Linked DNA regions of Canis lupus familiaris. The protein of the gene in region 1 interacts with the protein of each later gene in a biochemical or structural test. Links are inferred from orthologs where the notes say so. Each region holds a gene or a part of one and is shown in the gene's direction. Other genes may lie near its edges.

Region 1 (3,500 bases):
GGATGCCTTAGACTCAGTAAAGGCAGGTGATTTTAAATGTTGCTGCCAGACCAGGTGTGAGTGAGCCAGCTGTAAGCAATTGGAAGGGACTGTGCTGGGGCCACAGAGCATATAAATCCCAGTCCTTCCTCGGCCGCCAGAAAACCGAAGCTGGAAGCCAGATAGATGATGGGGACAATCTCCAACTCTCACCACATACATACTCAGCCCCAAGAGGGCAGACCTTGTCCCTGCAGTCAAGGCCAGCAAGCCAGTGCACTTTCAAGTGGGAATGATGGATCACACATTTAAAAAAAAAAAAAATTCTCTGCCTTAACCAGCTTTTTTTTTTTTTTTTTTTTTTAAGATTTTATTTATTCATGAGAGACACACAGAGAGAGAGAGAGAAGCAGAGACACAGGCAGAGGGAGAAGCAGGCTCCCTGCAGGGAGCCTGACCTGGGACTCCAGGATCACACCCCGGGGCTGAAGGCAGCCGCTAAACCCGCTGCGCCACCGGGGCTGCCCCTTAACCAGCTGTATTTGGTTAATTGATCAATTCCTGATCACAATGGGTGCTAGGCTTGCTTTTCAAGCCCATGTAAAATATTCAAGAGACGAGGCCTAACTCATAACTAAGGCTTTTCTGCACTCTAGGAAGTGGCAGTGTTACAGACCCTCTTCCTTGAAATTCTCTTTGCCCTCATGATTCATACAGTGAGATTACCAAACATAATAATGACGTAGTTGGGGATTTACTCTTTTAGCAAAAACAGTTGCCGAAGGTTTACTTCAGTCAGTAGTATAAAAGCTAGTATTGAAAGACCCTAGTTGGGCAGCCCCTGATGTGGAACTTGATCCCCAGACCCAGAATCACGCCCTGAGCCGAAGGCAGACACTCAACCGCTGAGCCACCTGGGCATCCCCAAAGAGATATTTTAAAGAATGCCCATTTCTCAAAGTTCTCCAGTCCTGGTTCAGCCTCATCCCTCAGGTGTCTTAGATGTCTCTAGTGGTTTGTTTTGTTTTGAGGGGAAGTGAATACTGCAGAATCAGATCTATCCCTGTTATTGCCCAAGAAAAGATGTTTGGGGATTCTCTAAATCCATAAAGAGGGAAAATTTTAATTTTTCTCTTATTTTTTTAAAGATGTATTTATTTATTTTAGAGAGAAAGATTTGGCACAAGCCAGGGGAGGGGCAGTGGGAGAGGGAGAGAGAATCTCAGGGAGACTTCCTGCCTAGCACAGAGCCTGTTGCAGGGCTTAATCCCACGACCCTGAGATTGTGACCCGAGCTAAAACCAACTAACTGAGCCACCCAGGCACCCATACATAATTTTCTTACCATTTGGGTTTGGCTTACACATATGGGAAAATTAAAAGTTTCCCCTTATCCCTCCTTTTGTAAAGGTTGGTTTCTTATTATAGTTTCCTTAAATGAGTATTCCAATTTCAATCTAGAATATCCTATGACTGTTAAAAGGACCTACCTGGAGTTCATTTGCTGGCTTAAAAAAACTCTCATGTATATCACAGAAATTCTAGTGAGGTTGAGCATAGTTCAAGAAAAAAAAGAAAAGGAAAAAGATTTCAGGAAAAAATAATGAACTCTCTTTGACCCTGTAGTGAACAATAGCCACATGTACTTTAAGAGAGATTGATCGATGTTCACCTTTTACAATCTACTTATATACAAAACATGAAGGACTTTATAATTACAAAGTGGAAGAAACTTTACTAGTTTTCACAAGGTAAAGGAAATATAAGAAGGCTGTCTTTGAGAGTGTCGAGAGAGCTGGAAGGAAGGGTGGGATGTTATCTTGGGAAGTAAATAGCGAGAGACGCTGTCTATAGCTGGAGAACAAGAAATGAAGCCTGTGCAAGTGTGTTGCTGAAAATGCAAAGGTGATGGTAGAGGTTGGCACAGGAGCTGTGGGGGCAGAGGAGTGGGGTCAAGAGACTCAACTTCTCCTCAGAGAGATGGAGGGTCACCCAAGGCATGCATGGCTGTTGCCTATGGGTGTAGAGAAGAGTGAGGTAGAAGGTGTTTGTCCTTTATCATAAGCCTGTCTGTCTTACTTGATTTTTAAATTATATACACATATTAACTTTAACATGTTTTGAAATGTTTTAAAGAAACTTTTGTTCTCTATTATATGTAAGCAATGGCAAAGATGTATGAGGATGGACTCTTTCTTTCTTTCTTTCTTTCTTTCTTTCTTTCTTTCTTTCTTTCTTTCTTTCTTTTTTTAAGATTTTATTTCTTTATTCATGAGAGACAGGGAGAGAGACAGGGGTAGAGACAGAGGCAGAGGGTGAACCAGGCTCCATGCAAGGAGCCACGTGTTATTTCTTTATTCATGAGAGACAGGGAGAGAGACAGAGGCAGAGGGTGAACCAGGCTCCATGCAAGGAGCCCAACGTGGGACTTGATCCCAGGACTCGAGGATCACGCCCTGGGCTAAAGACAGGTGCTACACCGCTGAGCCACCCAGGGATCCCAGGATAGACTATTTCTATTTTTAACTATTACAATGAGTTCATTTTGAATTAATGAATTTAAAAAGCTGAGGCTATTTGGAAACCGTGATTGCCACTTTGGAATGAAAATATTTCATACTAAAAAAGAAAAGAAAATACTTCATACCTTTCACAGGATTTGGGAAAGGAAGAGTCCATTTTCATTTTACCACCTTTCTTATTAATACAAATTGCATATAGATGTTAAGAAATGAAATAAATCAGGGGCACCTGGGTGGCTCATTGGTTGAGTGTCTACCTTCGGCTCAGGTCATGATCCCGGGGTCCTGGGATCGAATCCCACATCGGGCTCCCCACAGGGAGCCTGCTTTTCCCTCTGTGTCTCTGCCTCTCTTCTCTGTGTCTTTCATGAATAAATAAATTATACCTTTAAAAAAATCCTAAAAAAAAGAGAAATGAAGTAAACCAAAAATGTTTAATGATGGAAACAATTTATGGCTCCTGAGAATAAAACTAATTATTTCCCCCAATGTTTCTTGTTTCTTCTGTTTCCCATTTGTCTTCCAGAAGCCCTTCAGAGGCCAGTAGCATCTGACTTTGAGCCCCAAGGTCTCAGTGAAGCAGCCCGTTGGAACTCCAAGGAAAACCTTCTTGCTGGCCCCAGTGAAAATGACCCCAACCTTTTCGTTGCACTGTACGATTTTGTGGCCAGTGGGGACAATACCCTCAGCATAACTAAAGGTAGGAGAACTATGGACCACTGCTGGTGCTTGCAAGGGACAGATCTGGTGAAACTGTGGCTTGGCTGGCTACCCGTTTTCCTAGTGAAGGATGCAGAGCCAACAATGAAAAAAAAAAAAAAACAGTATCTTTATGAGAGAGCCACTTAAGCAGAAGAGTTCCCGTACGGTAGTTCTTAGGAAAACCAGAGCATGATCGTGAAAAGAACGCCTGGACTAAGCACCAAAAACATTTTTTTTTTTTTTTTTTTTTTTTAAAGAGAAAGTATTTTTTCCTCCAAGAAACTTCCTTATGTTGTT
Region 2 (4,030 bases), on another chromosome or scaffold:
TTCAACCTGAGAATAATACATGACAATATTGGGGTGGAGGGGATTGAAAACCTGCTTATGCTGAGTCACAAAAGGCACTAACCCTTGACATTTCCCCTTTAGCTTACCCTAAGCTGGATATCACCCATCACCCTAGAATTAGGTGTATGTTCAACCTGAGGGCTGCAAGCGCCGAAATGAAACTCCACTGACAAAGGGATCTGTATAGGTTTGTTATAGCCGGCGTCTCCCTTTCTTTACAGGCTTTCTCGTTTGTCCAGTTCTAGGGGTGGTGCTACCAATAATCGGGCACCAATAGCCTGAGGATTTTTTTTTTTTTTTCAAAAGTCAATTCATTCAACAAATATTTGAGCATCAGGTCAGGTCCAGACCTTGTGCTAGGCCCAGAAGCGAGCAAGACAGACAAGATCCCTGATCTCTTAAAATTTCATCGCGGGGAGGGGAGGCAGGGTGGAGAAACAGGCCACCACGACCGGCCGAAGCAGGTCAGCCAGGGGGCGGGCATGCGAGGAGATTAGCTCGAGAAGCTGCAGAACTGGAGCCGGACGAGATCTTCGGGCCACACCCGGGGGAGTCCGCATTTCATCAGTTAAACGCTAATGATGGCCAGATTGCACCAAAAGGTGGACTTCCTCGGGCCACTCAATCCTGTCGCTCCGACCTTCGCAACCCCTTTTTGCGGCTGTCGAGTTTCCCGGCCACTCTGGGTCCCTGAGCCTATCAGGCCACCTCGGCTTTGGTCACGTCAGCCCCCGCGGTCGCGTCCTTCCAGAGCCACCTCGACCCACCGAGGCGTGTCCGCCCGCGGGTCTCCCTCAGCGCGGGTCCCCCGGGGCCCCTGGGCCAGCCAGGTCACCTCAGTGCCACGCCTCCACGGCCAGAGGTTCTGCATGCACGTTCTGCTTTGTTCGCGGAGCAGGTTTTCGAAACGCCGCTCCCTCTCGACTCCAGCTGTTTTCCAGCCGGAGCTGGGGGGGAGCCCGCAGCGGCAGCGCCCCCGGCGGCGCACCGCAGCCCAGGAAGGGAGTGGCCGTTACCGCCACCTCCTCCTCCGCCGCCTCTACCTCCTCGCCTCCCCCGCTTCCCCGGCCGCCTCCGCCTCCTCCCGGAACGCGGGAGCGGCGGAGCGCGGCGCACGCCCCGACCGTCACGACCGCGCTCCTGATTGGCCGCGCCGCGCGACGTCACGGGGCGGGCCTGGGCGGCAGCTGAGAGCCAGAGCTCGCGCGTGCGCAGACCGAGCGCGCTGAGCGGAGGGGGAGGTGGCCGGCCGCTTGTCCCGCGTCCGCCATTTTGTTGCTGTGGCTCTTGGGAACGGGCTGGGCGAAACCGCCCCGGAGGCGCGACGCTCCTGGGAGTCCGGTGCTTCGCGTGGCGGCGGGTATCAGTGCAGAGCCGTGGGGGGCGCGGAGTCGCGCGTTCCGGGCCAGGAGTGGCTGGAGGCACCCCCGGTACGCCGGGCAGCCCCAGAACCCCGGGGCGGCCTCCGCTGCGGCTCAGCTTCGCCCGCCCCGACCTCGGGCTGTGCCCTGCATTCCCCGGGCCGGCTCCGTCCGTGAGGCGGCCCCGGAGCAGGCGGGCGGCGGCAGAGGATGCTGCGGGCCCGGAGCCGAGACGAAGGTGCTGGCTCGGCCCTCTAAGCGCGCCTCGAGGTGTGCCAAGAGGCCCTTCCTTGGCCGCAGAGCCGTCTGTCGGGCGAAGGCGTCCAGAACAGCCGAGAGCAGCCGCCGCCCCGAGTCGCCGCAGAGCCCCGGCCAGACACCATGTCCTCCGCCAGGTTCGACTCCTCAGACCGCTCCGCCTGGTACATGGGGCCGGTGTCTCGCCAGGAGGCGCAGACCCGGCTGCAGGGCCAGCGCCACGGAATGTTCCTAGTTCGCGATTCCTCCACCTGCCCTGGGGATTATGTGCTGTCGGTGTCCGAGAACTCGCGGGTCTCCCACTACATCATCAACTCGCTGCCCAACCGCCGTTTTAAGATCGGGGACCAGGAGTTTGACCACTTGCCGGCCCTGCTGGAGTTCTACAAGATCCACTACCTGGACACCACCACCCTAATCGAGCCCGCGCCCAGGTACGCGAGCGCCCGCACTCCCCGCGCGCACAGCCCCCCTCGGACCGCGGCGGAGGGTCGAGAACAGCAGGGGCTGGTTCGCGGGGGATCGACCGCCGGGTAGGGGGTGGGGGGAGCGGGATTGAACTCCTTTCACCCCATTCTGAACCAAATTGTTTTCCAGAAGGCATTCTGATCGGAAGGCTAGTGCCAGGGTCTGGGTTGTTGGATGAGGGGATGGGTTTTAAACCTGTGTAACGGCGGTTGCCTGGTTAAAATGCCCGCTTTGTGCCGTTCGTCACATTATCTATTGGGTTATCCTAATCGAGACGTTTTTGTTGTTTTTAAGCCTTTTTTGTTTTGTTTTGTTTTTTTTTTTGAGAATCTCAGGGCAGCTGTGGCGTTCTCCCTCCGTAAAAATGCACGTACACACAACTTTGCACACCGTTCAAGGTTCTTGGGCTCCCTGCTCCAGTTTAAGAACTCTTGGACTGCAGCCTTTGGAATAATCGACAAATGAAAATGCTTGAGCGTTTAGGAACAAAACCTTTCACAGTGAAGTGGCGGAACTATGTAGGATACCTTGGTGCTAAATTTGAATTACCTAGACACCTTTTGTTTTATAACTAACACATTTTATTTTATTTTATTAAAGATTTTATTTACTTATTCATGAGAGACACAGAAAGAGAGAGGCAGAGACACAGGCAGAGGGAGAAGCAGGCTCCATGCAAGGAGCCTAATGTGGGACTCAAACCCGGGAACCCGGGATCACACCCTCAGCCAAAGGCAGGCGCTCAAGCGCTGAGCCACTCAGGCATCCCAACTAACAGAAATTTTAAGAAGATGATGCATTGGCTTTAGCGAGGACGCATTTTTTTTTTTTAATTTTTATTTATTTATGATAGTCACAGAGAGAGAGAGAGGCAGAGACATAGGCAGAGGTAGAAGCAGGCTCCATGCAGCGGGAGCCCGACGTGGGATTCGATCCCGGGTCTCCAGGATCACGCCCTGGGCCAAAGGCAGGTGCCAAACCGCTGCGCCACCCAGGGATCCCCGAGGACGCATTTTTTGAGTTTTTATTTTATAGTTTATCCCCAGGGTGGACCATTAATAGGCCAGAAATGTATTTGATTATATTCTAAAGAAGAATGAAGCTAGGATGTAAATTACTAAGGAAATTTTTGAGCGATACTTTAATTCTGTCCTAGTTTAATTTTAGGTATACCTTTTGTACATTTGTAAGTTTAATAATTTAAAGCAAGCAGCATTCTCTTTTCTAAGTAAATGCATTATTTTATTTGATTACTTGCTTTAATTTGTCTTTAGTATTTTTTCACGTTTCTTTTATTTAAATTATGTCAAATTTGAACTGAAGAAATTGCTTGGAATTTTTTTTTAAATAAAAAGTATTTTGCTGTCCATTTTGGTTCTTGAACTTATGTTTAAAAGGAATAGGCTGCCGGGATCCCTGGGTGGCGCAGCGGTTTGGCGCCTGCCTTTGGCCCAGGGCGCGATCCTGGAGACCCGGGATCGAATCCCACATCGGGCTCCTGGTGCGTGGAGCCTGCTTCTCCCTCTGCCTGTGTCTCTGCCTCTCTCTCTTTCTCTCTGTGTGACTATCATAAATAAATAAAAATTTAAAAAAAAAATTTTTTTTTAAAAAAGGAATAGGCTGCCGATATAGATTTTTTTTTTTTTTTTGGAATGACCTGTTTCTGATTTTATAGATTTGCTGATAAGATGTTGCACTGAGCTTTAACCATTAAAAGCTATAATAATTAAGGAGCACCCACTGGATGCCTAAGTGTTGCTTCTGTGGAGTAAGAGAGAAGAAACAAAGCCATGACAGTATAATGACTATAAGATTAACTGCTGAACTAAATGGACTTTAAAAACTGGGAGAAAGTGATTATAAATCAAATAGTGTTATAACAAAGGCCTAAGCACCAAGAATCTGATTGGTGAAATCTCCAG
Region 3 (3,985 bases), on another chromosome or scaffold:
ACTTAAGGCTTGGACTGTTTAAAACTTATCATCATTCAAAAGGTCTGGAAATAGACCTTCCTGTTACATTGCCTATCCGAACTCTAACAAGCTGATATTATTTTGTAAGAAAGAGGCTTGTTAGGGTCAACGCAGGGATGCTCTAAAATTCCTTCGTTTGAACTGATGAGAGTTCCTAACTGTAGACGATTTAACGAGTTTATGGTTCCAGGTGTACATCAGCACATGTCAAATTCTGCAAGAGCTTATGATCTCTAAGAACTCGCCTTCTAGAATGACCTTTGCTGAGTGGGGCTCGATTAGGAATCGATACGTAAAGAGGCTCTTTAAAAAAAAAAATCGTGTCAATAGTTTTAAGAGTACCTTGGCGTGGTCTAGAAACCATGAGTTAGGAGGAAGGTGCTTGTCAGTGGGTAAGAGTGCCTCACGTGCCCAGGATCCTTCCTGACACCCCAGCCAGGACCTCCTCACCCTGCTGGGCGCCGTCTGCAGAGGCGCCCCCCTCGGTGCCGCAGACCCCCCAGGACACGGATTCAGGATCCATCCCAGGCCGGCCAGCAGCTATCGCCTGCTGTCCCCTGATCGGAGCGAGTGCATATTCAATGCAGGGTCACTTACGACTGAGTTTTTCATCATGGCTTTGACTGTGAAGCCCTCAGAAACCAGGGAGTGAGGCTGGTGCACCGGGAGCGGCTGTTGCGCCAGCAGCTTGGTCCTCTTCGGCATCTTGTCTGGGCATTTGTTTAAGCTCAGGGTCTCTTTTTCTGCCACCATCTTCCTAGAAAATGTCTCGTTCTCATAAAACGTGTAGTAAAAGAATCAGTGGGTTTTACGCATGTGAGAAGGAGTTCGGGGGGGAAAAAATGTAAAAAGGCGCGTTACTGGTAGAAATTCAACCCCTCGTAGTGCCCAGGTTGATCCAGATGTTTGGCAGCTCCTAGGTGAGGGGAGTTGACGGAGGGGAGGGGCGGGAGGAGGGAAGGACCGTGGCGAGAGCCCTAAGAAGCTTCCAAAGGTAAGCCTCCCGGTTGCTAAGCGACGCGTCAACACTGCGGCCCCGTGGCCCAGTCCCCCCGTGACGTAGCACGCTTGCTGGGCCTGAATGCGGAGAGGCGGCGGAAGGCGGCGGGCGGAAGGCGGGCGGCGGCGGGCGGAAGGCCCACGGCAGGCCGACGGCGGGCGGGGAGGGGGCGGCGCGATGGGAGAAACTACGCTGTCAAACTACGACTCCCAGAAGGCCCCTGGCTGCGCGTCGTCCGCGCGTGCGCATTCCGACAGCCGGCCCCAGGGAGGCAGGTGCTGGAAGATTTAACCCCGGAGCCACATTTGTGGGAGGCGCGGGCGGGCGCCGGTGCGGGCGTAGCCCCCTGCGTGCCCAGCAGCCTCCACCTGCCTAGTGACCATGATAGGTACGTGAGTACCTGCCAGGTACAGCCTCTCTGCGCCTCCTCGCCGGGCCTCGGCGGACAGGGACGCCCCCGCCCCCAGGGTGTCGGCCGGTGTCAACTGTCAGTGTCGGGACGGCCGTGTCCGCCGGCCCTCGGCCCGCGCTGCGCGCTTCCCGGTGCCCGCCGTGGGCCGGGGGAATACGTGTGTGTGAGCTCAGCCCCCGCCCAGCCCGTGCTCGGACAGCTTCCCCGGGGACCCCGGCGTGCGCGCCTGCGCCTCCCGAGGTGGAGGCTGCGGCGCGCGTTCCCACGGCGAGCGCCGCGCCGCGCCCCGCCCCGCCCCGCCCCGCCCCGCCGGACTCGGGGGTCGGTTCGCAGGCCCCTCACGTGCACCTCCGGCCCCGCCCCTCGGGGGCTGCCTCCCGGCTAGGGACGGATGGGACCCGCCGCCTGTAGGACTCTTTCCGGGGAAACCCTATACCGAAGCTTTCAGCTCTAGCGGAAGGCACCTGCCGGGATGGTTAGGATTCAGAGACATTCCTGCAGAGGAACTTAAACCTCTCGCTCCCTCGATTTTTCCTTGTAAATCTCTCCTTGTAGGTCTGAGATGAAAGAATCTAGAGTAAAGAATAACAAGGATTAAATATTGGCATAATGAATTATTAGTTGACACAAAATGACCTGGGTGCATATTTATGATGAAAGCTTTGGAAATGGTTTGTGGTAATTGTTTATAAACACTGTGACAAAAGTTTCCTCCCCCTCCCCGTCCTCCCCGTCCTCCCCGTCCTCCTCGCCGTCCTCCTCCTCTTCCTCCTCCTCCTCCTCTTCCCTCTCCCCCTCCTCCTCCCCCCTCCTCCTCCCCCCCCTCCTCCTCCTCTTCGCGGTAATCTTTGAAATGAGTGGAAATACACAGTATGATTAGAAACCAGTGTTATTTGGGGCGTTTATTATGACAGAGACTTACTTTAGATTGTGTATGGAAGATTTGGTGACCCTATTTGGAGATTATTCCTGATGAGTACCACTTAAAAAACAATTTTGATTGCATCGAGTGCATCTGAAGTCAGAAATGGTCAGTCCAGAAAGATGAGAAGTGGATTTTTAAAATACGTAAGTTTGTATGCACTGATAGAGTCTTAAGTCTTTTATTTAGGAAAATTAATGTTAAAGCGTAAAACATTCTACCCAGAGGGAGAATCATGCCAGTGATTAACTGATGCTGTCTTTGCAGCAATGATAAAACCTAGGGATGTTGTCCAATTTTTCTCACCTTTCTAGCACGGTATGACTTTTGGTGAATGACTTTTGAAAGTCATCCAATGAAGACATTTTTCTTATAAATGAATGTTTTATATAAACTTTATGAATCTTTTGAACCCAACTTTTACATATAATCCACTATAAACGGCTCTGAGTGGAATCAGAAAAACTAATAGAAGAAATTTTTAAAAATCCATGATGTCAGCATTTTACAGAAAAAATTATGTTTTATTTGAAGACAATTATAAAATTTTATTTTAATTCAACTTAATTTAGTGCATGCATGCTCTTAAAAGAAGCAAGTTTATAGCAAAGCTATATAAAGATAGGGACTTAAGATCTAAAAATCACAATTCTAAATTGTTATCTGATAAATGACTATATAAGAACTTTAAAAAAAAAGAACTTTGGTAGGATGAACTATGTTTAGGGAATTTAGTTTATTTGGGACTTAGGGACATAAGACAGAAGAGTATGATCTTTGGATTTGATGATTAGACAGTTATTAGTAACTTGTAATTACATGGAGAATATAAGGTAGATTTTAAAAGGTGTTTTTTCTTATACTCCAGTTGTTGTTTTACATAGTGCAAATAAATGTGTATTACAACATAAGTACAACATGCCCCATCCCAAGAAAGGTACTTTACATATAAAAACCATGTGGACAATGTGCAGTACATTATTTTATACAAGTAATTGCAATGCCTAATTCTATTGGTGGGCACTTTTTGATAAAAATCTTAATTGCCAATTTTGGACTTGTATTGGTGAAGAGAGTGTGTGGAAAGGTAGGTGAAAGTGGAGGCAATTAAAAAGGAAAGGTAGGTGAAAGTGGAGGCAATTAAAAAGTGATGGGTTTCCTGTTTGTGAATAAACCTCAGAGCCAGGAAAGGCATTATTGTTTATACCTAGTAATAGGCTGGAGATAAAAATATACCTCAGTATATATCTGGGTTTGTTTTTTTTTTTCCTGTTAAAGACATTGTGCTACTCAGAACTTGCCTGTTTTATGCTTGTGCTCTCTTTAATTGCTACACCCTCTTTAATGCAAATAGTACTCTTCCATTTTACAAAAATCTTGGCTTACTTTTGAGGAAAAACAACAATAGGAGTAAAGGGGATTGATTGTTACCCCACTACGAGTAGAATTAACCTTCCTTTTTTGTTCTTAAAACCTAGGATTCCTTCTTGGTACAGAGACTGCCTCAAAAGTACTTATATTTCTCACTTGAATTATGACTGATACGTTAAATGCCTGGCCCAGACAGTCATAGAAACATAGTTTAATTAATTATGACTTTGAGAAGTATGGAGTAGGACATCAGGGTATC
Region 4 (4,257 bases), about 47 Mb from region 1:
TGATGCTCAATAAATGCTTGGTGAAAGAACAACTCATTTTCCTAATTTCAATGGCTTATTTTCTCTATAGAATCAGATGTTCGGTTATTCTCATCTCAGCACTATTTTGTTGGCTTCCAGGGAGCACACTACCATTAGATACGTTCTGTTCTCTTTAATTGGAAAGAGCTTTTGGAACTGAAAAATAGGAGTTACTTCTTCAAGCCTCATCTGCTGCTCCCCCGTTCTCACCCGCCTCACACAGGAATCGAACAACTTAGCATCGCACAGAACACGACTCTCTCTCACGCCTCCGTTCCTTTGTACAGGCATGCGGTTCCCTTCGCCCGAAGCGCCTTTCCCCGACAGCTCCGTCTAGTGAACTCCTACTCGTCCTCCAAGACTCAGCTCAGACATCATCATCACCTTCTCTGGGAGGCTATTCTGAGATGGGCAGAGTAGCAGTTCTCCCTCCCATCTTTTTAGCTTCCTCAGCATTCTCCCAAATAATTCTAACATTGCATATGGCATTTTTTTGTTTTCTTCCGCTCCTCTAATTTTTTAAAAGATTTTACTTATTCAAGATTTTATTTATTCAATTCATTTTTAAGATTTTATTTATTCAAGATTTGATTTATTCAATTCATTTTTTAAGATTTTATTTATTCATTTATTCATTTATTATTCATAAGATTTCATTTATTCATTATTATTCACACACAGAGGCAGAAACATAGGCAGAGAGAGAAGCAGGCTCCATGCAGGGAGCCCAATGTGGGATTCGGTTCAGGGACTCAAGGATGACGACCTGAGCCAAAGAAAGATGCTCAACCGCTGAGCCAGCCAAGCCTCCCTCTCCGGCTCCTGTAGACCGCGATTTCCTCGATTTCCTCGAGGGCCGAGATACCTGTTCATCATTGTACCTCTTTACCCAACACCTGTATACCTATACCTATGCCTAGGATTAGCACACATCAGGCACTTGATTAGACCCATGAGCGAAGAATATGTTCATTCGTCTAACAGTGCGGTTTGGACCGAATTCTCAAGCATTTCAAAAGCTGGTCCTCTATTTGGAGCGCTTCAGGATAGAGGGAGATTCCGACATCCCCCGGCAAAATCCTCGGTTTGATGGCAGGAAAAGGGAAGTGATTAGGCTGTGATGAAGAGTTGCTCCTTCAGGGCTCAGCTGTCATCTACCCTCCTTGGCACAGAGAGGGTTACAGCGACCCAGAGGCGGGGCCACGTGGGTGCCACCTGCTCCGGGGCGGTCTGGCGCAGGCGCCCTGGCGTCTAGACGGCGGCTACCTGCGGGGCCCCGGCCGAGGAGGAGCGCGTGCGCTCTGGGCCTTTTCCGCCGGGGGAAGTCTCGCGGGGGCGGGGCGAGGCGGGACGGGGCGGGGCCGCGCGGGGAAGTTCTCGCGGGACCCCGACGAGGAGCGGAAGCCAGGCGGCTGTGTTGCTGCTGCTAGCGAGCGAGCGGGCGGCGGCGGCGGCGGCTGCGACGAAGACTGAAGCGGCGACGGCGGCGGGAGCAGGCGCTGCCCTCGGGGAGCAGCAGCGCGGTCCGCGGCCGCTCGCACCGCTGCAGACGGGTCGGCCGGGCGCGGAGCGGAGCTGCTGCGCCACGGTGAGTACGGGCGGCGGCGGCGGCGGCGGCGGCGGCGGCGCTGCTGCTGCTCCGGTGCTGCTGCTCCCCTGCTCGGCAGCGGGAGGTGGCCCGCGAGGACCGGGCCCGGTCTACCGAGGGCTGCCAGGGTTGGGGATCAGGGTCGGGGCGACGAGGCCTGGCGCGGAGAACGGAGTCCCCCGGGCTCCGTATTTCCCTTTTTGGGGCGCTTCCTTCCTGGGGACCGTCCTTCCCTTAGCTTAGCTCGGGGCAGGAGGCCGGGTGCGCCTCTTTAAGTTTCACGCTTTCTCGGGGGACGGCTTGCGCAGAGGGGCCCGGGAGAACCCCGGGAGCCCTGGGTACTCATTCTGTGAGTCAGTCTGACTCGGCCCGGCCCGGGAGGCGGGGGATTCGCCGCGGCTGCAAGTGTGGTGATTGATGCTCTTGCGACCTGCACGGCCACCACGTCACCATCTCCCGGTGTCTTTGGGCCAGAATTTGGGGAGGGAGCCCACCGACCCTATGAATACCGTGATTTAGAACTTTTGCTGCCGGAGCCAGCTGAGATGTCTAGTTTTTTTGTTTTTGTTTTTTTGAAACTACACTGAAAAATACTTGTAAAGAACAATAAGCAGCAGTTGGTTGGAAATGCTCCGAGGAAAGGTTTCTGTGCAAGAGGATAAGGAAGGCACTGGTATTTTTCATTTGCATCGCTCTCCATATACGCCCCGTGAGTTAACAGCTCGTTTAGGGAGTTCTTCCAAAAGGTACGATTTGCAGAGGAGCCGAAGTGCACTCGACCTGTGTCTTTTGGTACTGTTGACTCAGAAAAGAGCCCAAAAGACACATGAAAGAAGATAGCATATCTCTTTGGCTTTCCTGTCTCTCTCTCTCACTTTATACTTCTCCAGTAGTTGCCTTCCCTTTCTACCTACTTGTCTCCATTTTCACTGGGGACACTAAGTGTTTGCTTGTGTAATGCAAGTCATTTGCTCATCCCTCCCCCCCTTCTTCTAATCTACTTCCCCTTCCTCCTTTTTGTCCCCTCTTTGGCATAATTTTTCAAGGTTTCTGCCCTTTGGTGCAGTTTGTCTTCTCCCTCATTTAAAGATTCCGTTTTCTCTCCGGGGAAGATACCCTTTTTCCTGCTTTATCCTTCACTTTGAAGCGTCCACTGTGTTCCTTCAGTCAGCCAGAAGAGTTGCCAGAGAGCCTTGGGAGACTTTAAGTTCTCCCCCTGGGAACTGGGAGGCTCAAAGGATTGAATTCATCCGTAAGTAATCAATACTGCCACTAGGTCACAAGTGTAGCTTGCTTGTGTTATTTGTGTTTTAGTTGTTCTCTTCATTTTAACATTGTGCTTTTGTGCCTGCTTACACTTTTCTTCCTATGTCTCTTTTATACTAGTAAGGAAGATTGGGTCAATTTGGGGTTTGTAGGACTTCTTTTTCGGCTTTTAGTGGGAGTGGTGTGTGTTAGAAAATGAAAACCAACCTTAGACCTATGTTACAGTAGAATTAAGATAACATTAAATATTTAAGGGAATAGAATTTCTTTAGATCACTGATGAATTAAAACTTGCCCATTGGGCAGCCCCGGTGGCGCAGCGGTTTAGCGCTGCCTGCAGCCCAGGGCGTGATCCTGGTAGACCTGGGATCGAGTTCCACATCGGGCTCCCTGCATGGAGCCTGCTTCTCCTCTGCCTGTGTCTCTGCCTCTCTCTCTCTCTCTCTCTCGCTCTGTGTCTCTCATGAATAAATAAAATAAAATATTTAAAAAAAAAAACAACTTGCCCATTGTGGCAATTGGATTCTTTACCAGGGTTCTTCTAATGGGGCATCGTTGTTACTGTTCTTGGGGTTTTTTCGATATAAATAACTGTTTCATTACTCCTTCCTTTGTCCAAAATTTTCTGAATTCCCAAAATAAAAACCGAAGTTAATTCTTGTAATTGGCTTTCTTTGATACTAAAAGCAAGCATTTAAGTGCTTGAGGCAGTTTACTCCCTTAGCAAGTGTATTCAGATTTGAGGGATTGCTGGGTTTTAAATACTACTAGTTGATGGTACTTAGCAGTTTTTTTGAGAAATTGCTGTTATGTTGCCTGTTGTGCAGCAGCAGTTCTGATTGTTGCCTAGAACAAAATAATAATAGATTTTGGAGAAATTAATACAGAATAGAGATGTACCATGCTCTCCTGAGAGAAATTAATAGTTCCTTGCTTAGTTCAAAAGACTTTCCTAGCACTACTGAAAGGCTATTGAGAGCCCTTGGTTTTATTTGTTAAAGTTGGCTTTTTCCTAGTTGAGCCAAGTGAATGTGCATTACTTTTATTTTATGCAAAGACATTGTAGTGCATTATCTGGAATGCAAAGTTTGAAATCTGGTTAAGGCATTCTACTAGTACAGCAGTGATTCTTAAAATTTAGCATGCTTAAGAATTACCTGTGAATCTGGGATGCCTGGGTGGCTCAGGAGGTTGAGCATCTGCCTTTGGCTCAGGGCGTGATCCCGGGGTTCTGGGATCGAGTCCCACATCAGGCTCCCTGCTACGAGCCTGCTTCTCTCTCTGCCTGTGTCTCTGCCTCTTTCTCTCTCATGAATAAATAAATAAAATCTTAAAAAAAAAAAAAAAAGAATTACCTGTGAATCTTATTTTAAATTAGGCTC
Region 5 (4,299 bases), on another chromosome or scaffold:
GATCCCTAGGTGGCGCAGCGGTTTGGCGCCTGCCTTTGGCCTAGGGCGCGATACTGGAGACCCAGGATCAAATCCCACGTCGGGCTCCCGGTGCATGGAGCCTGCTTCTCCCTCTGCCTGTGTCTCTGCCTCTCTCTGTGACTATCATAAATAAATTAAAAAAAAAACCAAACAAGCTTTATGAACTTTAAAGCACTCCACAAATATACAGTAGTAGTGGGGGAAAAATAGATCTAAATAAAGTAGTAGTAGGGGAAAGATTGATCAAACCATAGAACTCCTCTGCTCAAAAACTTTTTTTTTAATTTTATTTATGATAAGCACACAGTGAGAGAGAGAGAGGGGCAGAGACATAGACAGAGGGAGAAGCAGGCTCCATACACCGGGAGCCCGATGTGGGATTCGATCCCAGGTCTCCAGGATCGCGCACCTGGGCCAAAGGCAGGCGCCAAACCGCTGCGCCACCCAGGGATCCCCTCAAAAACTTTCAATGAGGAGTGCCTCAGTGGCTCAGCGTGGAGCCCCTGCCTTTGGCTCCGTTCATGATCTGAGGGTCTGGGATGAGTCCCACATTGGGCTCCCCAGGGAGCCTGCTTCTTCCTCTGCTTCTCCCTCTGCCTCTATGGGTGTCTCTCATGAATAAACAAAATCTTTAAAAAAAAATAAGATTTTTAATGATTTCCTCATTACTTAAAGAATAAAGACTGAAGCTCCACACATGGCCTTAAGCTTCTTCATAACCTGAATGAAATGTTAATTTTCCAGTATCAGCGTCTCTAGGACACTTTTCCTCCTTCATCAGACAATTCTATCGCTTGACCACGTTATTTCCATACCCATAGTGCTCTAAGTCTCCCATCTCCGTTTCTTTGCCCAGGAAACCCCATTAACGCTTTAAAACCGGAGTCACACACAGGTCCAACTTCCCAGTAAACAAGGTTTACTTTCTCAAAATCAGTGTCTCCTGCCCTCGGGAGTCTTCCAAATCTCAAGTACCAAGACTTGACTAATATTTCAGCCATTTTTCTCCCCTTCGTTAGCTGTTTCCAGTTCCATCTCAGCTCTACCACCTCCAGGGGCCTGGAAGGAAAACCCCAGGCTCCGGGAATTTGACGAAATCGGAAGCTCAGACTAAACGTCCAGGTTTAGAAACTAAAGAGGCAAATCGAGAGCAGCTCTCTAGAGCCAGACCTTCCCCCAGCAGGGGTGAGGCGCTAAAGTGGTGTGCGACCCTGTGCCTGCTGGGAGATGGAGTCTCCGACCCACCCCACTACCTCTTGGGAGTTGTAGTCCTTGGTCTGGTAAAAGAGAAGGAAGCGGCGACTCCCAAATTGTGAATTAGTTTTTAGGGGTAAAGGGAAGAGGCAAATGCCTCACATGAGGCAAGACCAAGTTCCTTGGACCCAACTAGGGTTCGCGAGCAGCCGCAGAGCGGGCTAGACCTCCGGGCCGAGGGGGCGGGGAGACGTTACGTTGACGCTGGCGTGACCCAGCCGGAGAATTTGGCGGGATCTCCAAACACTCCCCGGAGGGAGCTCTGCGGTTTGAGACCCAGCCTGAGGAGACTGACGCGCCCTTAGGGGCGTCGTTGGGAGCTGAAGCTCGCTTGGGTTGTGTGCGGAAGGCGGCAAAAAGGGAGTAGAAAATTTGGCAGCAAGGGAGGGAGTCCAGAGCCCGTCCAGAGTCGTGCGCGGACCGGACCCGCGGACAGAAGTCGGAGCGCGCAGCCCGGCAGTGAGGAGCGCTGTGGACCGAGGTGAGCGTGTGAGGCGTAGACTCGGCCCCTCCTGCCTCCCGGTGCGTCCCCGCAGTAGCCGAACCGGGCGGAGCCCGTGCCGCCGGCAGCCGGCTTATGGGCCCCTCTGCGCCAAGTGAGAAACCGGAGTTGGCGGGGCGGAGCAGGGTCATGCCCGGGCCCAACCCACCGTCGGGGCTCGTTGTGGCAAAAACTGAAGTGGTCCCCAGGCTCCAGAGCTAGAAGGAACCTCAGAGGCCTTCATTTTCAACACCCGGTTTGGGGGTGGGGGGGTGGGGGCGGCGGGAAAGCCGAGATCCAGAGAGGTGTTGTGATTTAACGTCACAGCTGTTTCTGTCGGGGCCAGGGTTTCCGGATTTCTGGTTAATCCTCTTTCCATTACACCCTGCTTTGCTTACGGAGTACCAGCTTCCAATTTCCTAAAAGGCGTTTTCATTAGCTAATTCAGGCCGTTCGTGTGATGATGCCTGGGGAATGATCTGTAGTGAAGTGGTTTCTTTTGACTGCTAAAGTGAAGTGTAATATGCGTATGGAAGAATATACAAATCAGAAGTGTATAGTATACGCCTCTGATTTCAAAAAGAATATACCTGTGCAGTCATTACTCAGGTCAATAAATAGAACGTTGTCAGCACCCCAACATCCCCTGTTCTCTCCAAAGGTAACCTCTGTATTGACTTCTGACACCAAAGACTAAATTTGCCTGTGTTTGAGTTTTGTGTAACTGATATTATCTATCTTTAAAAGGTTTTGTTTATTCATTTATTTATGAGAGACGCAGAGGGAGAAGCAGGCTCTTCAGGGAGCCTGCTGCGAGACTCGATCCCAGAAGCTCGGGATCATGACCTGAGCGACAGCAGATGCTCAACCGCTGAGCCACCCAGTTTCCCCATATTATGTATATTTTTGTGTTTGGTTTTGCTCAACATTCTGTCTGTAGATTCGTACTTATTTTTGCATATAGTAATAGTTCTTTTTAGTTTCTGTATTGAATTCCTTATTCATTCTGCCCATGCCCATGGTGGACATTTGGGTTGTTTCTAGTTTCTGAGTTTTTAAATGAGAAAATCTGCAGAGAACATTCCTGCGTATGTTTTGGTACAAACGTGTATGGTTTTCAGTTGGTTAGTAATACAGCGTTGAAATTCCTGGGTCATAGCATTTGTCTATATTCAACTTCCACATTTAATGCCAGTTTTCTTTTTTTAAAGATTTTATTTATTTATTCATGAAAGAGAGTGAAGGGCAGAGACACAGGCAGAGGGAGAAGCAGGCTCCATGCAGGAAGCCCGGTGTGGCATTGGATCCCGACACTCCGCATCCATGCCCTGGGCCAAAGACAGGTGCTAAACCGCTGAGCCACCCAGGCATCCCTACTGCCAGTTTTCTGCTACCAATTTACATTTACACCAGCAGTGTATGAGTGTTTAGTTTTTTCACATGCTTGCCAACACTTGATATTGTCAATCTTTTAAAATTTTATCTGTTTTGGTGGCATATAGTAATACTTCGTGGTTTTAATTTTGATTTTCCTGATAATTAGTCAGGTTGAGCATTGGTTCATCGTTTTTGGCCCATTTGGACATCTTCTATCCTGAAGTACTTGTTCCAATCTCTTGTCTGTTTTTCTATTGAGTTGCCTTTCTCCCTTCCCTTCCCTCTTTCCTTCCCTCTTTCCTTCCCTCTCTCCTTCCCTCTCTCCTTTCCTCTCCTTTCCTTTCCTTTTTTTAAGATTTTATTTATTCATTCATGAGAGAGAGGGAGAGGGAGAAGCAGAAGCAGGCTCCATGCAGGGAGTCCGATGTGGGACTCGATCCTGGGACTGCGGGATCACACCCTGAGCCAAAGGCAGATGCTCAACCGCTGAGCCATCCAAGTGTCCCTATTGGGTTGCCTTTCTTGCTGATTTGAAGTTCTTTATATATTTTAATTATCAGCCCTTAGTTGTATATATGGTAAATATTTTGTCTCCCACCTGTAGTTTGACTTCATTTTCTTAATAGTGTCTTTTGATGGATAGAAGTTTTAAGTTTAAATGTCCGATTTTTCAGTCTTTTTTTTCGTTGTTGCTTTAAGAAAGTTTTATCCCAAAGTCATGAAAACATTCACCTATATTCCAAAAGCTTTGTTTTACCTCTTATATTTAGATCTGTAATCGAATTGGAAACAGATGTTTCTTCTGTATGTGCAGTGTTTTATTTTGTTTTTGTTCTTTTTCTTATTCTGTAAGGCTCTCCCATCAACCTAGCACTTTTTATTGAAAAAAAAAATCCTTTTTCCATTCTCTGTAATTCCATCTTCTTCATAAATTATGAAGGGAGGTGTTTAAATTTTTTTTTTTTTTTAAGATTTTATTTATTCTGGGCAGCCCTGGTGGCTCAGCGGTTTAGTGCCACCTTCAGCCCAGGGCTTGATCCTGTAGACCCTGGATCGAGTCCCACGTCGGGCTGCTTGCATGGAGCCTGCTTCTCCCTCTGCCTGTGTCTCTGCTTCTCTCTCTCTCTCATTCTCTCATTAAAAAAAAAAAAAAAATCTTAAAAAAA
Region 6 (4,278 bases), on another chromosome or scaffold:
GGGAGTGTGGACTCGCAGAAGGTACCTAAAGTTGGGTCTACTGTAGCATAAGCCTAATAATCATTTGTGTTGGCCATGTCCTGGTATGGCCTTAAGTTCTTTCACAGTAACAGCTGCGGAGTGAGAGAGTTTCTAGCCCTTTAGAACCACATTTATACCTTTGGACGAGAATCTGTTTAATGAGAATGAACCCCATACAAAGTTGTCCCAAGTCCAAGGAAAAGGTGAAAAAAGACTTACGAGGTCTGAAAAGCAAAGGCTGTAGCTATATAAATGCCGTCAGTTCGGCAGGGTGGGAATTGTGGGAGGGATGGCATAGTTGGAAAAACGGGTGATTGTGTTCCCAGGACCACCTAACCGGCAGAGCCTCCCAGCTCCCGAACCACCTTTTTAACTACTTTCTGAGTGTGCAGCAGCATTAGAGGTTGGAGAAGGGTGAAGGCTTTATGCCCGAAGCAACGTTTTCTTTTCTTCTATTTCCAGCTCCAGTCTGTGGATGAGCACTGTGTGTGGGGCAGTAGAGAAAACGGGGACTTTCTGGTTTAAGGAAAAGAAAAAAAAAAAAAATCTGTGAGCAACCCTGCGGTGGTCTCCGCGCTCGCAAGCCGCTGTCTAGGGCCTCGGCGTCGGTCGGCTGGGTCGGGCGAGCCCTTTAAATCCAGCTCCCCCGCCCCCCGCAGCACGCGCCCGCTCCCAGACAGGTGTTTTCCCAACTCCTGAGACTGAGGATTTTGGGGAGAGTACGAGCCAATAAGATTCCCCTCTGGGGGGTGGGGGGCGGGGAAAAAGGCGGGGCCAGTTGGGTCAGAGCGGGGGCGGGGCTCGCGGCTGAGCCGAGCCAGCCCGGTTGCGTGGAGGCTTGTTTTATCCGCCCCCCCTCCACCTTTTTTTTTTTTTTTTTCCCCCCTCCCGGAGTCTTATTAATTTCTCGGTGGGGCTGCAGCTGGAGACCGCGGAGCGTTGGAAATGACGCTCGGAGCTTTAATTACCGCAGCCGCCGGACAAGTGTGAGGAAAGCTGACGGGAAAAAGAAGGACAGGATCGGGGGAGAAGCGAGAAGCGCCCTCCCCTCGCCCCCCCCCCCCCCCCCGCCCTCGTCCTCCCATCCCCTCCCAGTTGGGACTGGAGGTGCAAGGAAACTGAAAAGGGAGCCCAACATAGCCCGGCTGCGGGGAGAGGCCGGAAACCTACCGCCTCTTTGCAATCAACTTTTTTTGGAAAGCCTTTTCCCCCCTTCCTTTTTATTGTTGACCAACCAGTGCGAGAAAGTGAGGAGGGAGCGAGGACGCGGAGGCTCGCACGGGGGAAGCGCTGCCCAGTCCGGCCCCGAGCGGCACGCGCACACCCTCGGGCGCACGGCCCCGCGCACACCGGCGCGCACGCCCCTCCTCGGGCCCCGGCCCCGGCCCCGGCCCCGGCTCCCCGCGCCCCCGCACCCCGGCCCCGGCCCCGCCGACTCGGACTCGGACTCGGACTCGGACTCGGACTCGCACGCGCACTCGCCCTCGGCGGCTCCAGCTGGGAGCCGGTGCACCGCGCCCCGGGCGCGCCGGACTCGGGGCCCTCCTCCGCGTGCCCGACAGGGGAGATGCCATTTGGACATGTAATTGTCAGCTCGGGATCTGAGACTTGCAGAAAATGAAGCTGGCGGCAGGACCGTGGGTCTGGGTGAGCCTTCTGCTGGCAGCGGGGACCGTCCAGCCCAACGCCTCCCAGTCAGGTGGGTGTCCGGGGCTCCGCGCCCCCCGCGCCCCCCGCGCCCCTCCGGCCTCCTCCTCCTCGGGCTTGGCTTCCCTTCCTCCCTCCGTCTGTCCGTCCCCAAACTTAGCCTTTTTCGTGTACCTGCGTTTCACTTACCGTGAAATGTCACTCTGCGACCCTGTCCCCCCTCCCTTTTCCCCCCTTCCTTTCTCCCCGACCCCCTTCTTTCTTTCTTTCTTTCTTTCTCCCGCGTTTTCGGGGGAGCCTAAAAGCGGGATCTCTGCGGGTCCTGCCGGTTGTGCGGGCCGCGGGACACGCGGCTCCCGAGGCTCCCGAGTTGGACGGTCCCGCCGTGCGGGCGCCCCGAGAGCGAACGCCTGGCACCGGCGCGCGGGGCTCCGCAGGGGCTGTCCCCGAGCCGGCGGGCGGCGCACCTGTGCGGCCGCGGGTCCCTCCCCGCTGGGGCGGCCGCCAGCCTGCGCGCCGCCGACTCGACGGAGCTCGCTGGCCCGCGGGCTCTCTCTAAAGAAAAGGGGGGGGGCAGGGAAGGGGTTTGACACCCTGAGCGGGAGCCCGGCCCTGCCGTCGTCGCCCGGCTTGGCTCCGGGAAGAGTTCTTCCTGTAGTTCAACTTCTATTGGCCCGAGTCCCTCCAACTTCGCTGTTTACTGCCCGGCGCGGCTGCCGAGCCGACCCGGGGCGCGACCCGGTCCACCCCGAGGCGGGAGCGACGGCGCCGCCACCGCCTCCGCCTCCGCCACCGCCACCGCCACCGCCTGCGAGAAGGCGCGAGCCCGGGCACCTGGACGGGCCCAGGCCGACCGCCCCCGAGGCCCGGGGTGGGCTGGCGTCCGCGGCGGCCAGGGCCACGCACGGCACCTGCAGGGCGAGGCTGCTCAAAGTTTTTGACACTTGAGTTTCCTGGGGATGAAAGCGGGGCGGGAAAGGACGGAGGCCGGTGGGTCTGATGCCGCCAAAGGGGGCCTTTTGCAGAGCGGGGGGGATCTCCGGAGCCACCCCGGGCTGGTGGCGGGAGCGTGGGAGGCAGCTGGGAGGGTGAAGCCCCCCGGGAGCGCCCGGGAGCGGGGCTCGGGCCGCGTCGGGCCCCCGGAGGGCGTCCCCCTGACCTCACCGGGAGCCGCGCGCCGCCTTCCGCGCTCCGCCCCCGCCGCTGCCGCCTTCCCTCCTAGCCTAGTAAATAACAAGTCGCAGGCGCCGAGCCTTTCAGAATGACCTTCGAGTGGCACCAGCGTGCGCCGTTGGTGCTCGCCGTTTGCACCCTCCCGATCCTCGGGAGTCCTTCATGCGCACCGGGTCGCGCGCTCAGCCGCCGCCGGAACCGCACCAGCCCCGACCGCGGATTCCAGGCGGCCTCTTAGATACGTGCCTTTTACCTCCTCCCTCCGCACTCCGAGTCCCTTCGTATTTTCCCTCAATGGGTCGATTATGCACATTGACCCATTCAAAAGCGTGTGCGACCGACACGCAGACTTAGGCGAGAGGGATTTCTCCGAGTCCGAGGCAGCCCACTGGGGGCTGTCGGTGCAGCCTCGGCCGCTGGGGGACCCGGCTCCGAGTGCGCAGCAACTCGGTATTAACTGTGTGGCTCAGGGGTGAGCTATGCCGAAAAGCCCTTTTCAGAATTTCTGCAAAGAATGCAATCCAAATTAGTTCTGCAGCTGTCCCCTTCCTCGTCTCCGGCGACACCGCCTCGCGCCCTCGCTGGTCTCTTCTCGCTTCCCCCCGCGAATGGTCAGACCCACAAGTGAGCCCCTGTAGAGCGCGGGGATTAGCGTGCCATTGTTGTTCTGTGTGTGACTCTGCACTTGAAATTCTAGGGGCACAAAGGCGAGCCTCACTTGTTCAAAACACAGAGTGATCCAGATGAAAGGGCCGCACAAAGAAAAGCTCTCGGTGCATCCCTGGTACAATTGCAACACGCATGCTAAGGTGATCCACTGGGAACTGTAAATGCCCCTGGGGACTTCTTTCTTCACCCTATTCCCCTCCTCACCCCCCCCCCCCCGCCCCCACCACCCCTGCCGCACCTGGCAGGGAAAGTTCAGCTGGTTTTAATACAGTGCTTTCACGAAACCAAGTTACTGTGTGGAGTGTGAGTGAGGCTGTGTGTGTCTGTGTCTGTGTCCGTGGGGCTGTCTGTTCCCAAGTAAATACATACTGCGTGTCTCCCCTCTCGCGGTTAGCAGTCAGTAGCAGTTTGGAGGAGTTTGTTTTGGTCCAAATGAGAAATTAAGTGCGGATAAGTAAACTAAGCTGCCAGAGGGCGACAAGATGTTGAGTGAATTGCTTTTAGATGAAACAAATTAAGGAAACGAGGGAAGACAATCTGCTTCTCGCATTATTAGACACGCTTGGAGTTCAGGGGAAAGTGGCATATTTTTGAAATGCTAATTTCTTAAGCAGAAGGAATGCACCTTATTTACTGCTCTATGTGAACAGAATAAAGATATGGGTGGAGGGAGGATTCTGTTGTATAGATCTAAGATATTTATTAAAATAATTATAATGGGAAAGGACCTGTTTTTATTTTTTCTTCTCTTGCTTGGGAAAAAAATCA
Region 7 (3,500 bases), on another chromosome or scaffold:
ATCACCTCCGGTGAATCCTCTCCCCACTGTCCTGTCTACTTCCCATGATTTCTAGCAACTGCTCCTAGTTCTGCAACAAAGAGCAAAGAGCTTTTCTCAGCCATAGGACAGCGTTTAAGGAACCTTGGGTGGTGGTTTGGGACAGATCCAGCACAGAGCAGGAGGGAGCAAGGTTCAGTTGCTCGTTGGCAGTGTTCCTCTCTTGTCTCTCATGGTGCCCTCCTCTCCCTAGATAACTTTGTGGTCGATCAAACGTCTTGTGTCCGGGCCTGTCCTCCTGACAAGATGGAAGTAGATAAAAATGGACTCAAGATGTGTGAACCTTGTGGGGGGCTGTGCCCCAAAGGTGAGTAGGAGATGGTGAAGAGCTGGTGAAGAGAACTTCCTTTCCCCAGAGACCAATCAGGCTCCACCCACTGAGCCTCTTTTGTGTTTGCAGCCTGTGAGGGGACAGGCTCCGGGAGCCGCTTCCAGACTGTGGACTCGAGCAACATTGATGGATTTGTGAACTGCACCAAGATCCTGGGCAACCTGGACTTTCTGATCACTGGCCTCAATGGGTTAGACTCTGCATTCCCTCTCTAACCCCCACTCCATCCATCCTCTCACGGTTCATTGCATTTGGCTCAACCCTTCATATGTGCAGCTGATTAGGAATACGAATCACAGGGGCACCTGGGTGGCTCAGTCGGTTAAGCGTCTGACTCTTGGTTCCAGCTAAGGTCGTGATCCAGGTGTCGTGAGATCAAGCCCCGCATCCTGCTCTGTGCTTAGTGTGGAGTGTCCTTGAGATCCTCTCCCCCTGCCTCTGCTCCTCCCCCTGCTTGCTCTCTCTCTCTCTCTCAAAATAAATAAAAATCATTAAAAATAAAAAAAATAAAAGGAATATAAATCATGAAATTTTAAAGGTTACACAGTACCTGACCATTCCTAACTCTGTCTGCCACCCAGGACTTGAATCCCTTGAGACCCCCCCCAAGGAATCTGATAACTGTCTCACTGCACGGCAGTGGACAAAGAAATTGTGTTCTCCTACTACTTTTTTTGTTTTTTGTTTTCAGATTTTATTACATCTATCTATCTATCTAACCATTTATTTGATAGAGACAAGGAGGGGGAGCTACAGAGGGAGAGGGAAAAGCAGGTTCCCCCACTGAGTAGGGAGCCCAATGTGAGACTTGATCCTGGGATCCTGGGACTGTTACCCGAGGTGAAGGCAGACAGCCAGCTGACTGAGCCACCCAGGCACCCCTTTATGTAAGAGAGAGAGGAAGAAGGACGCCCGGGTGGCTCAGCGGTTTAGCACCTGCCTTCGGCCCAGGGCGTGATTCTGGAGTCTCAGGATCAAGTCCCACCTTGGCTCCCTGCATGGAGCCTGCTTCTCCCTCTGCCTGTGTCTCTGCCTCTCTCTCTCTGTGTCTCTCATGAATAAATTTTTAAAAATCCTTTAAAAAAGAGCGAGGGAGAGAGGGAATCCCAAGTGGGGCCATGTCAGGAGCACAGCCCCACGTGGAGGACCCTGAGATCATGACCTGAGCCGAAATCAGTCCAATGCCTAATGGACTGAGCCACCCAGGCGCCCCTTAAGATTTTTATCTTTAAGTTATCTCTATACCCAACGTGGGGCTTGAACTCAACCCTGAGACCACGAGTCGCATGCACCACTACTGAGCCAGCCAAGTGCCCCTGCCCGAATCAACTTACTTTAAGAAAGATTTTATTTATACACACACACACACACACGTGTGCACGCTTGTGCACGTGTGCGGGTGTGCAAGTTGGCGAAGAAGCACATGGGGAGGGAGAAGAAGGGGGAAAGAATCTCAAGCAGATTCCACGCTGAGCACAGAGCTGGCCTGGGGCTCCATCCCATGACCCTGGGATCAGGACCCCAGCTAAAACCAAGACTTGGATGCTCAGCCAACAGCCACTCAGGCGCCCCCTGAATCAATTTTTAAAAAAAATTTATTGATTTATTCATCAGACACACAGAGAGAGAGAGGCAGAGACACAGGCAGAGGGAGAAGCAGGCCCCATGCAGGGAGCCCGATGTGGGTCTCATCCTGGGACTCCAGGATCACTCCCTGAGCCAAAGGCAGAGGCCCAACTGCTGAGCCACCCAGGCATCCCCTGAATCAATTTTTTGATGAGAGTTGCCACATGATGATTTTTTAACTCCATTATTCCTTTTGCATTTATTTGTCGGCATTTTAGTGTTAGGAACAGTTTTCCTTTCCCATTGATTGATTGATTGGTACCTATTTCACTCAGTCCTTTATAATCTTTTACAGTTATTATTTTGGTGTTGATTTGTCTCTGTTCTGGCCACTGGGGGCTTCTTCAAGCCAGATCCCAGATTCTTTGTACCCTTCATTCTCTGAGCACTTACTTCCTTTTTTGCATAAGATGCTATAAACTCATGTTATATTTCTCCCGCCCTACTCATTTCTCCAAGGAGCCCTGTTTCCTTTTAGTGGAGGATGGTATTAGAATGAAGTTCTGGGCAGCCCGGGTGGCTCAGTGGTTTAGCGCCACCTTCAGCCCAGGGAGTGATCCTGGAGACCCGGGATAGTCTCACGTCGGGCTCCCCGCAGGGAGCCTGCTTCTCCCTCTGCCTGTGTCTCTGCCCCCCTCTCTCTCTATGTGTCTCTTATGAATAAATAAATAAAATCTTAAAAAGGAAAAAAGAAAGAAAAAAGAAACTTAAGTTCTGAGGCTAGGTGTGACTGGGTTGTACCTGTATCTTGTTGACTGGTTTTGACTGTTCTCTCCAGAGACCCCTGGCACAAGATCCCTGCCTTGGACCCTGAGAAGCTCAATGTCTTCCGGACAGTACGGGAGATCACAGGTGAGTGGGAAGAGAGGCTGCTACCCTTTCTGAGAGAAATGAGTGAACCACTGACACAAATTGGTGTATAACTAGTTACAAAGTCATGTCCCAAGTGATGGGAGAGGGGCCACTAGAACCTGAGAAGGCAAGAAGGGAAGACTCCTTCCCCGCTGACGCGCCTCTCTCCAACCCGTCAGGTTACCTGAACATCCAGTCCTGGCCTCCCCACATGCACAACTTCAGTGTCTTTTCCAACCTGACAACCATTGGGGGCAGAAGCCTATACAAGTGAGTAGTTAGGAGTGTGGTGGTGGTAGTACCTCCAGGCAATGAACCCTGTTTCTTAGGCATCTTTGAGTGAAGCACACGTGTTGTCTCAGCATGCCCAAAGGGCTGAGAGTTGGAAGGGGAATCTCTCTTCCCGGTCTGACTGGCCCAGAGCACATTGGTTAAATGAAAAGGAATCCACTGCATGGTCATTTTCCCCTGTGTAATCTCCCTTCTTACCTCGTTTCCTTGTTCTCAGCCGGGGTTTCTCTTTGCTGATCATGAAGAACTTGAATATAACATCTTTGGGCCTCCGATCTTTGAAAGAAATTAGTGCTGGGCGTATTTACATAAGTGCCAACAAGCAACTCTGCTACCACCATTCTCTGAACTGGACCAGGCT

Evidence for each region.
Region 2: the proteins of ABL1 (region 1) and CRKL form a complex in vitro, tested with the Homo sapiens proteins (4 studies listed by BioGRID and IntAct, with this or other methods). The link is inferred for Canis lupus familiaris from reciprocal best matches to the Homo sapiens genes ABL1 and CRKL.
Region 3: the proteins of ABL1 (region 1) and PRKN form a complex in vitro, tested with the Homo sapiens proteins (2 studies listed by BioGRID, with this or other methods). The link is inferred for Canis lupus familiaris from reciprocal best matches to the Homo sapiens genes ABL1 and PRKN.
Region 4: the proteins of ABL1 (region 1) and GRB2 form a complex in vitro, tested with the Homo sapiens proteins (3 studies listed by BioGRID). The link is inferred for Canis lupus familiaris from reciprocal best matches to the Homo sapiens genes ABL1 and GRB2.
Region 5: the proteins of ABL1 (region 1) and RAD51 form a complex in vitro, tested with the Homo sapiens proteins (2 studies listed by BioGRID). The link is inferred for Canis lupus familiaris from reciprocal best matches to the Homo sapiens genes ABL1 and RAD51.
Region 6: the proteins of ABL1 (region 1) and ERBB4 form a complex in vitro, tested with the Homo sapiens proteins (2 studies listed by BioGRID and IntAct, with this or other methods). The link is inferred for Canis lupus familiaris from reciprocal best matches to the Homo sapiens genes ABL1 and ERBB4.
Region 7: the proteins of ABL1 (region 1) and ERBB3 form a complex in vitro, tested with the Homo sapiens proteins (2 studies listed by BioGRID and IntAct, with this or other methods). The link is inferred for Canis lupus familiaris from reciprocal best matches to the Homo sapiens genes ABL1 and ERBB3.

What each region holds. Positions count from the first base shown.
Region 1 is NC_049230.1:53,242,157-53,245,656, reverse strand, and holds part of ABL1 (tyrosine-protein kinase ABL1), read left to right. Parts: intron 1-3,027; coding exon 3,028-3,201; intron 3,202-3,500. UniProt on the Homo sapiens protein: Non-receptor tyrosine-protein kinase that plays a role in many key processes linked to cell growth and survival such as cytoskeleton remodeling in response to extracellular stimuli, cell motility and adhesion, receptor endocytosis, autophagy, DNA damage response and apoptosis.
Region 2 is NC_049247.1:30,747,035-30,751,064, reverse strand, and holds the start of CRKL (crk-like protein), read left to right. Parts: upstream 1-1,230; 5' UTR 1,231-1,763; coding exon 1,764-2,074; intron 2,075-4,030. UniProt on the Homo sapiens protein: May mediate the transduction of intracellular signals.
Region 3 is NC_049222.1:51,748,775-51,752,759, reverse strand, and holds the start of PRKN (E3 ubiquitin-protein ligase parkin), read left to right. Parts: upstream 1-1,185; 5' UTR 1,186-1,402; coding exon 1,403-1,409; intron 1,410-3,985. Other genes in the region: PACRG (parkin coregulated gene protein), read right to left, coding at 619-774. UniProt on the Homo sapiens protein: Functions within a multiprotein E3 ubiquitin ligase complex, catalyzing the covalent attachment of ubiquitin moieties onto substrate proteins. Substrates include SYT11 and VDAC1.
Region 4 is NC_049230.1:5,987,133-5,991,389, forward strand, and holds the start of GRB2 (growth factor receptor-bound protein 2), read left to right. Parts: upstream 1-1,457; 5' UTR 1,458-1,609; intron 1,610-4,257. UniProt on the Homo sapiens protein: Non-enzymatic adapter protein that plays a pivotal role in precisely regulated signaling cascades from cell surface receptors to cellular responses, including signaling transduction and gene expression.
Region 5 is NC_049251.1:8,126,752-8,131,050, forward strand, and holds the start of RAD51 (DNA repair protein RAD51 homolog 1), read left to right. Parts: upstream 1-1,499; 5' UTR 1,500-1,756; intron 1,757-4,299.
Region 6 is NC_049258.1:19,996,463-20,000,740, reverse strand, and holds the start of ERBB4 (receptor tyrosine-protein kinase erbB-4), read left to right. Parts: upstream 1-1,478; 5' UTR 1,479-1,638; coding exon 1,639-1,720; intron 1,721-4,278. UniProt on the Homo sapiens protein: Tyrosine-protein kinase that plays an essential role as cell surface receptor for neuregulins and EGF family members and regulates development of the heart, the central nervous system and the mammary gland, gene transcription, cell proliferation, differentiation, migration and apoptosis.
Region 7 is NC_049231.1:764,852-768,351, forward strand, and holds part of ERBB3 (receptor tyrosine-protein kinase erbB-3), read left to right. Parts: intron 1-232; coding exon 233-346; intron 347-439; coding exon 440-560; intron 561-2,774; coding exon 2,775-2,848; intron 2,849-3,027; coding exon 3,028-3,118; intron 3,119-3,356; coding exon 3,357-3,500. UniProt on the Homo sapiens protein: Tyrosine-protein kinase that plays an essential role as cell surface receptor for neuregulins.